2 linked regions of the Oryzias latipes genome follow. The protein of the gene in region 2 interacts with the protein of the main gene of each other region in a pairwise test. Links are inferred from orthologs where the notes say so. Each region holds a gene or a part of one and is shown on either strand. Other genes may lie near its edges. The genes, in order: cinp and cluap1.

Region 1 (4,376 bases), on a different chromosome or scaffold from region 2:
TGCTGCGATGCCGCCAGGCGCTCCATCCTGGCCACTATGGCAGTCTGAGCAAAAGAGGACATCAAAGACGCACGTTAGATTCCCAGTCCAGAACTGAGGGAGGGGTGTCAGACGACAGGAACAAAGAATCCTGATTCTTTGCCTCGGGCTTCTCCCTCCATTTAGCCCTGCAGGCGGAGAGTTCTGGAAAATAGAGTCGTCAAATCTGGACGTTGCTACAGTTAGACGACGTCACGAATAGTCGCCGTCAGCGTGTAGCTGCCAGCATTCGGAAAACATGATGTCGCTTTGATAACTTTATAAAATCGTTAAATGACATTTCTGAGCGTCAGACCACGCCCACGTGAAGAAAAGCCTCTCCATGGTACAGCACGCCGCCGAACGCCCTACTGGCGGAGGGTCGCTACGTCTCCCCCTAAACGAACACTCTCGGACACCACTATGGCTCCAAATGCTCCTAAATTTGGAGCAGCAGGGAGGAGCCAGAGGTGTGGCTTTGGGTCTGTATGTTCTGGTCGGTCACAGCAGGTCCAGTTCTGGTTCCGATGCATTCCTCCTCTTTTATTCAGTGCCTTCAGGTCTGAAGGAACTCACCATTTTCTCCACGATGTCCAGCAGTTTGAGGCACTGAGCCTGCAGCTCTGCAGCTCCTGAGGGCTGCAGGGTCGCTGAGGAGGAAGACGATGATGAAGCTTCAGGAACCAGCAGCTGCTCATGTTGAGACCTGAGGAGCACAGGACGGGTCAGAACCTTCTGAGTGACGGGCAGGACATTAGTGCACGCTGAGTGGCAGGAGACACCTGCAGGTCAAACAGGTGTAGTCGGGCAGAACGCTCTGCAGACGGACAGGAAGTGAGCTGAAGGCGCGCAGACATGGACTTCCTGTGATGTCATATGTAGCTACCTGATCTGGAACGGCTCGCCGATTGGTGCCCGCATGTGGGAACGTTGTGTCACTTCCTGTTTGCGCCAACATTGTAGCCATTGAGCAACATTATTTAGATATGCTTCTGTAATTCGTATGTTTGTTCTTCCGAGGTGTAAACTTTGTGATTCAATGTTGAATAATTAAAAAAAATAATTAAAAAGATCAGTTCTGAGTAACATCATTGATATTTTCATTGTCTGTGAAAAAAACAACATACATGTATGTAAAGAGTAAATACATGTACATACAGTGTACATACATGTATATACATACATGCATGTACACTGCTGCATTACAGCGACGGTCTTTTAGTTTTGGGCGCTGTAATCGGGGGGGGGGGGACTTCTCTGCTGTTTTTTTTTAACTTATTCTGTCCAACAGCTGAGCAAACTATGACGGAGTATTAGGGCCACCAAAAAAAATAAATAATAAAATTACGAGTTTTTTTCTCGTAAATGTACGAGATAAAATGTCGTAATTTAACTTTTTTTTTGGTGGCCCTAAAACTCCGTCGTAGCAAACAGATCAGAGCTGAAGGCCTTTTTGTTGGACAGGATTTACTACAAAGAGGTTATAGAACTCCAGAAACCAGAGTGTAGATTTGAATAAACCCCTTTTTGCTACTTTATTATTTTTTATTTATTAGTTACATTTAGTGTGTGTGTGGGGGGGGGGGGAGTAAAGGGAATAGAGGTGAAAAAGTGGGGGATAAAAGCACTGATTTGAATAAGTTATTATATTAAGCTGTAACAATTCTACCAGATCTGCTGGAAAGACAAATGTTACATCCAAGGTGAAAATCTGAAGACATCTGTCCATCAAGACACTGTGGGTTGGGGGGGGGGGGCAGACAGGGAGCAGTGTGCACGTGCAGGTGGGGGTGGAGATACATGCACGCTGCCAAAGTGAACCGTGTGTTCATAAGGGGAACCAGATCCTCCCCAGCCCGACCAGGAGAGGGGGGGAGGGAGTGTCGTAAAGGAGGCTGAGCTGTCGGGAAATGTTAACATTTATTTTGATAATTTAACAATGAATTACAAAGTTTACCATCTTGGAACAACAAACATACGAATTACGGAAGAAAATCTAAATAAAGTTGCTCAATGGCTACAATGTTGGCACAAAGAGGAAGTGATGTCATCTTGGAGGGACCAGTACTTCCTGTGACGGCGTACGGTCTAGAAACACAATCACCTCTTGATGTTGACGATGTTGGTTGCGACGTCAAAGCCGTCCTCGCTCAGTTTGTCCCACCTCAGCATCAAGTTGTGCCAGTCGGCAGCATTATCTCTGACCTTTCGTGCACTTCCTGTGACTGCATGGCACTTCCTGTTTGATGATCTCCCTGTCAAACAAACACCCTGGCATGAGAACCCTGCAGACTTACAAAGCGTGGCTCCGTGGAAAATGCTGTTTTTGGTGTTTTAACGTGTTCTTGTGGCTTTTCTCTGATGATGGAGGACATTTCTAAAGAAATTTAAGATTCAAACTGCATTTCTGAGGATTTCTGTATTCATATCATTGTCATTCAAAAAGCTTGTCAGTGTGATGTGGAAGCCACTACGGCGGGCAGAGGCTCCGCCCCCTTCTGATAATCCACCTGCAGATAAACATCTTTGTTTTCTGGATCTAAACTGTACGCCTGGATAGATTTCTGTTCCACCACTAATATCAGGGTTTGAGGGACTGTAAGCTAGTGGGAGAGAGTGTGAACAGATGCCTGATGGGAAATGGGGGCAGGCTTACTCTGCCCCAAAAGTTCCCCCCAAAACACGGAGGTGAATTTCTAATGAAATCCGGCCGCTCTGCAGAAACTACGTGTTAGAAAACGACATCATGAAAAGACGACCAGGAACGACTAACAAGGTGACCTTCAGTGAAGATCCACTTCATGCCTCACCAGCAGGTTCCCACAGTGAAGCATCATGGGACATATCGTGCTGCAAAGTTGAAGAAGGCGGAGCTTGAAGGGGGTGGGATACAGTAGAAAGAATGTGGTGGAGAGGTGAAGGTGGTGTTTGGATCAATCTAATGAGGGAGGAGAGGCAGACTAATGCTTCATGGTGACTCTAAAGTGTCCCTAGGTGTGAGTGTGCATGAGTGTGTGATTGTGGCCCTGCGACGGACTGCCCACCTGTCCAGGTTGCCTCCCACTTTCACCCACGAGTGGCCAGGATAGGCTCCAGCAGCCCCATGACCCCAAAAGGGAACAAACATGAATGAAAGATGAAGACTAAAGCAGAACATGAGCTCCACCTTTACAGTCTGGAGGTCAAACTAATCTGCTGCTCCCTATAGGGGGCGCTGCAGTGACTCAGCCTCCTCCCTCATGTCCTCCTTCATCCATGAACCTCCTCTTTCCTGGTGTCTCCAGCCTCTCCAGCCTTTCATCATCATCATCATCATCATCCCTGCTTTCATCTCCAGAACATCTATGATCCTGGTTCCAGAGAGAACCTCAGCATCTTCATCTCCTCCTCCTCCTCCTCTCTCTGGCGGCTCTCACCAGTCTGCTACACCTGACCTTTGGTCACACCTGAAACCCTCTTCCACCCGCTGCCCCCCCCCCCCCCCCATCCACCTCTGGACTGTTGAAAAGCCCCCCCCCTCCCTTCTGCTCCCCGGAACCCCGCCGCTTTTCTTCCGTTCCTGTCGTTCACGAACGAAGTGTTCTTTTTTCACGATACTACTCGCTCAAATTCTGCATAGTTGGGGTTGACGAGTCACGTGACCGGATGTTCCCACCGTTTCCAGAAAGGACTCGTGCAGACGCCAGTCCTTCCGTGTTTGGTCCTCTAAGCTGGATCTGATTCCACTCACCTTCCATATCGATCATCTGGACCCCCCCCCCCCCGGAAGGGTTACGTTCTTCTTCTATGGTTAGCACGGTCCACAGCGCCCCCTTCCGGTGTGGGTACCGGATGTTCTCGGGTTGCCGGATGTTCTCGGGGTCCTTCAGGGTCCTTCCAATGAGTTATATCACTAGAGGAGACATCACGTGGTTCCTCATAGGAGGAGAGCACCGCCATCTTGGTGAGGTCAAGTTTTGAAGACCAAACCACTTTTTATAACATTTAATAAAGAGCTCTGTTTTTACTTTCAATCACTTCATTATATGAAAAAGAAGAATGGCTTGAAATTGCTTAGTTTTGTTCAGAAATACAAACTTCACGAGTACCCCTAACTTAACTAGTATTAGACTATTTAGATTTTTTCTATGTTCCTTTATTTTATTTTACTTATGTTTTTATTTATTTGTGTGTTATGTTCATTGTTTCTTTTTTCCCCTCTATTCTTTATTTTCTATGTTAATATATTATGTTTGGCAATGGTGACTGATCTTCGAAGCAATATTCATTACATTGTTATTGTTCGTTGTTAACGTTAATGTCATTGTTAATGTATGATACCGCAATTGTCAATAAAGTTTTTAAAAAAACTTAGCGAC
Region 2 (3,738 bases):
CTGAAGAAGCAATATGACCTTTACGAGAAGAAATTCCGAAACCTCAGCTTTCTGGAGTCTCAGCTGGAGGAACACCACAGACTAGAAAAGGAAAGGTTTGAGGTACGGATATAGAAGCACTGAGGGCTTCTCATTAGTTTCTTTTAAATTGAGTTTTTGATTAATAATAAACATTTCAAATATGTTTGCCTCAGTCAAATGTGACACTGTCTCTTTAATGCTAGAAAACCAGAATATATTTTTTTCTTCCATTACTTTTTTAGACAAAGATAATAAAAGCAAAAGATAACTGTTCTTTGAGTGCAGAAGGATCTGTTTTTTTCTGCAGAAAATGATTAAAAGTGCTTCACTTTCCATGGTCTGTGTCGCCTCTTTTGTAGGAAGCTGAAAACACTCTGAGGATAATGCAGCACAAACTGAGAGAGGAGAAACTTGACCTGATGAGGGGCTCCTGTGAGATCAAACACACACTTTAAGCAAAGTCCCATGTCCCAAATATCTTTAGCTCAAAGCAGTTTCTTGATTATTTCTTCTGAAGTGACAAATGAAGACTCTGACTTGGGCGTCATTGAGGATGAAGGTTCCGACAGCGACCTTGAAGAATCTCGGCCTTCAAAGCCGCGGCCCATGAGAAACGGCCTCATGACTGGTAAGCAGACAGCTTGAAGAAGAACATAATCTCTCAACGTGTACATAGTAAACCAACCTTAAAAAAGGAGAAAAAAGCGTTCATTTAGGTTTTCTCAAAGGAAAACTTGGATTCTAAAACTTGGTTGAACTGCTAAATGTCAAAGAGACTGTACCCCATGATCCCAGCTCCCACAGTGCAAAAAGTATACACCAACCACCAAAAGAGTACAGGTTGTCTGTTAATAACAAAGCCATTCGCACTCTATTGCCTTATATTTTATAGTTTTAACCTTTGATTGAGCTTAAGCGTAATTGAGCTTTGAAGCAGGAGAAGTGGAGCCTTTCAATTGCAGAAAAAAACTTTATGAAAACTAAGATGATGACATATATAAAGAGACCTTAGAACTGTGAGCAGAAAGGAAATTTTCTCTATTATTTTAAGCATTAAAAAAATCTCTGTTTAAAGTGTTCCTCTGTGCTTTACACAGAATGTGTTTAGAGATAGTTTTGACCATCTTTACCATTATCAGTTCACTTTTAAGTTGTGTCTGAATTCCTTCACTACTCACTATTTATTGCACTAAAGAGTGCGATAAATCACCATTTTGTGAGCTGTCCGAAAACAATTCCAAAATTCAGTGCCCTTTGGAAGTCTCTGCAAAAAACTAGTGTGCATCAATGCTCACTAGATTGGCAAATGTAGACCACAATGCATTGCATTTGAATGTTTTTTTTCATGTGAAAAAACATATTCAAATTCATTTTTTATAAATCATTCAAGTCTTTTTTAGCAGAACCCAGTGGATTCATAAATAGTATTTGTAAAGAAGAATTTCTGGAAATTGATGATGTCACATTTGCCGTTTAAAAGAAACACATGAGGATGATGTCCGAACTGTTTTTAAAATCCAGTCCCACACTATATGGATGCTATGGAGTAGTGAGGGAATTTGGACCTTGTCTTAAAGTTATTTAATCCCAAAATTTAAAGCTAAAACGTAAAAAAAAAAATCCAGAAAATCCATGAAACTCTGGTTCTCAAAAATGCTTTTTTTTTCTTTTCCAACAAGGGAGAGGAGGACTTTTTATTGGTAACATGCAGGGTGGTGACAGCGATGAGGTTAGTGATGTTCTTACTCACATTGCTTCCTTCATATTCATTCCATGGGCTGAGACTTCCAACATTCAAAGGATTTATCGCTTTTTGCCTTTTGCAACTTTTGATGGTAATTCAACTTTACCTGATGTCCAGTTATCCTGTGTTTTCTGCTGACCTCACCACTTAGTCTTTTTTCATTAATGTTTACTCATATCTCATAAGGTATTTTTACCAGTGTCCAAAACATCAGTCCCTCAGTTCAAAAAACACCCGAAAGGAAAGGTTTGTGCAAGACAAACGCCCACTTTATGTTTTTTTTCCAGCTCCTTGTGTATTTGAAGGAAAAATCAATCCTCAAAGTAAATGTTGGGAAATATTTATACTACTTACAGAAGTTAAAAATGTCAGTAATATTCATTGAACATGCTTTGCAGACAAGAGCTTGAATAAGAGAAAAGGTGCTGTCGCATTTTTTCCATAAAACATCAGAGTATCATCAGAACGAGCTGCACCAACACTTCTCACTTTTGAGCTAAAGGTGGATTTTTCCTTTAAATGACTTGAGTTTTCTGTTCACGCTAAAAGGCTAGTGTGTCCTGTCTAAAGTAGTGGAAACATTTGACCTGGTTATGTGTTTAGCTAAATAATCAAAGCATAGATTCCCATGTGATTCTACAGCCTGTGTGCAGAACCCGTCGAGTTTCTCCTGTTAGATTTGACTGCTCAGAACAGACTATTGCTCATGACTTTATCCCTGTTAATCTAGACTGATGACAGTGAAATCGATGTGGACGACGACGATGATGAGGAAGATGAGGAAAGAGAGGAGGAGAGCAAGGATTTGGAGGATGATAGTTTCGAAGGTCCCATGTCTAGAAACAACCGTCCTTCAATTGGAGCAGTGAGGCCTGCTCTGCTGGATGAAAGTGATAATGACTTTTAAGAAAAGAGCTCACCAAATTCTATAATTTGTCTGTTTCTAACTTGTATTTTAAGTTGGACCATGATATCAGCTTATCTCAAACGTATAAACATTGTTATTTACAGCATATATGTGGAGTGAAAATAGCCTCAACGGATTTGAGACTATTTTCTCTTCACTTTATGATGTAGCTCTTGTTTTTGACTGTATGAACTATCAAAATCCCTAACTGCATAGTAGTTTTGTTGTCTGTTTGTAATTCTTAAATTATTTTAAAGCCTTTTAATACATAAAAAAATAAAGAAATGGTTGATGTTTCCTTTTATGATGGAAAAGTAAAAAGCCTTTATCTAATTATTTGTTGTACTTATTATAGACATTGTCTATTTTTTTGTTTTGTGCCCACTACAATAGACACAGAAAGACTTAATTATTAATATTTCCAAAACGTTTTGACTTAAATCAGTGTGAATACAGTTTTTTTTTTTTTACAAATTTATTACCGATAAGTATAAACGCAATTACAAAACATGAATGAGTGCAAGTTTTTTTTTTCCCCAGATGCTTATTGTAAATATCAGGTAAAGTCCAAAGATATCAATATACATTGTACATTAATGCAAACTTATAAATAAAGAATGACATAAAATGAAATGCCAGTAAGAATAAATAAAAGTACAGAATGAGTGTGTAAAACAATGTTTGACATAACATTACAATTTTTTTTAAAACAATTTTATTTTGTAAAATAAAGGACGTTTTAAAACTTTTTGAAAAAGTAATTTATTTAGCAAAAATGTATTTAAAAAAAATAATTGAGATTTAGTTGGAAAATGTACATTTATACATGTAAAAATTAGAGTGGAAAAATTTGATTAAAACTTAACTCCTGTTGATGGAAACCAAACAATATACGTTTTAAGCAAAGAAAAGGGGACCATACATTTCTTTGTAACTAAAGATAATATCACAGAAAATTTGCCAAAAAGATTTTAGTGGGTTTAATTATACGTTTTTTGCAGGATAACATCGATTGCAGAAAAATATTTTTTTTGTTTGTTTTTTCTTTTTTTTGTCAGGAAGTACT

What was found.
Region 1: the proteins of cluap1 (region 2) and cinp interact in binary tests that used the Homo sapiens proteins (3 or more experiments, as listed by UniProt). The two-hybrid records come from large-scale screens. The link is inferred for Oryzias latipes from reciprocal best matches to the Homo sapiens genes CLUAP1 and CINP.

The regions. Positions count from the first base shown.
Region 1 is NC_019880.2:161,075-165,450, forward strand, and holds the start of cinp (cyclin-dependent kinase 2-interacting protein), read right to left. Parts: upstream 3,047-4,376; 5' UTR 2,863-3,046; coding exon 2,829-2,862; intron 2,274-2,828; coding exon 2,123-2,273; intron 725-2,122; coding exon 595-724; intron 45-594; coding exon 1-44. UniProt on the Homo sapiens protein: Component of the DNA replication complex, which interacts with two kinases, CDK2 and CDC7, thereby providing a functional and physical link between CDK2 and CDC7 during firing of the origins of replication.
Region 2 is NC_019862.2:10,331,612-10,335,349, forward strand, and holds the end of cluap1 (clusterin-associated protein 1), read left to right. Parts: coding exon 1-102; intron 103-380; coding exon 381-453; intron 454-538; coding exon 539-649; intron 650-1,700; coding exon 1,701-1,750; intron 1,751-2,495; coding exon 2,496-2,672; 3' UTR 2,673-2,960; downstream 2,961-3,738. UniProt on the Homo sapiens protein: Required for cilia biogenesis. Appears to function within the multiple intraflagellar transport complex B (IFT-B). Key regulator of hedgehog signaling.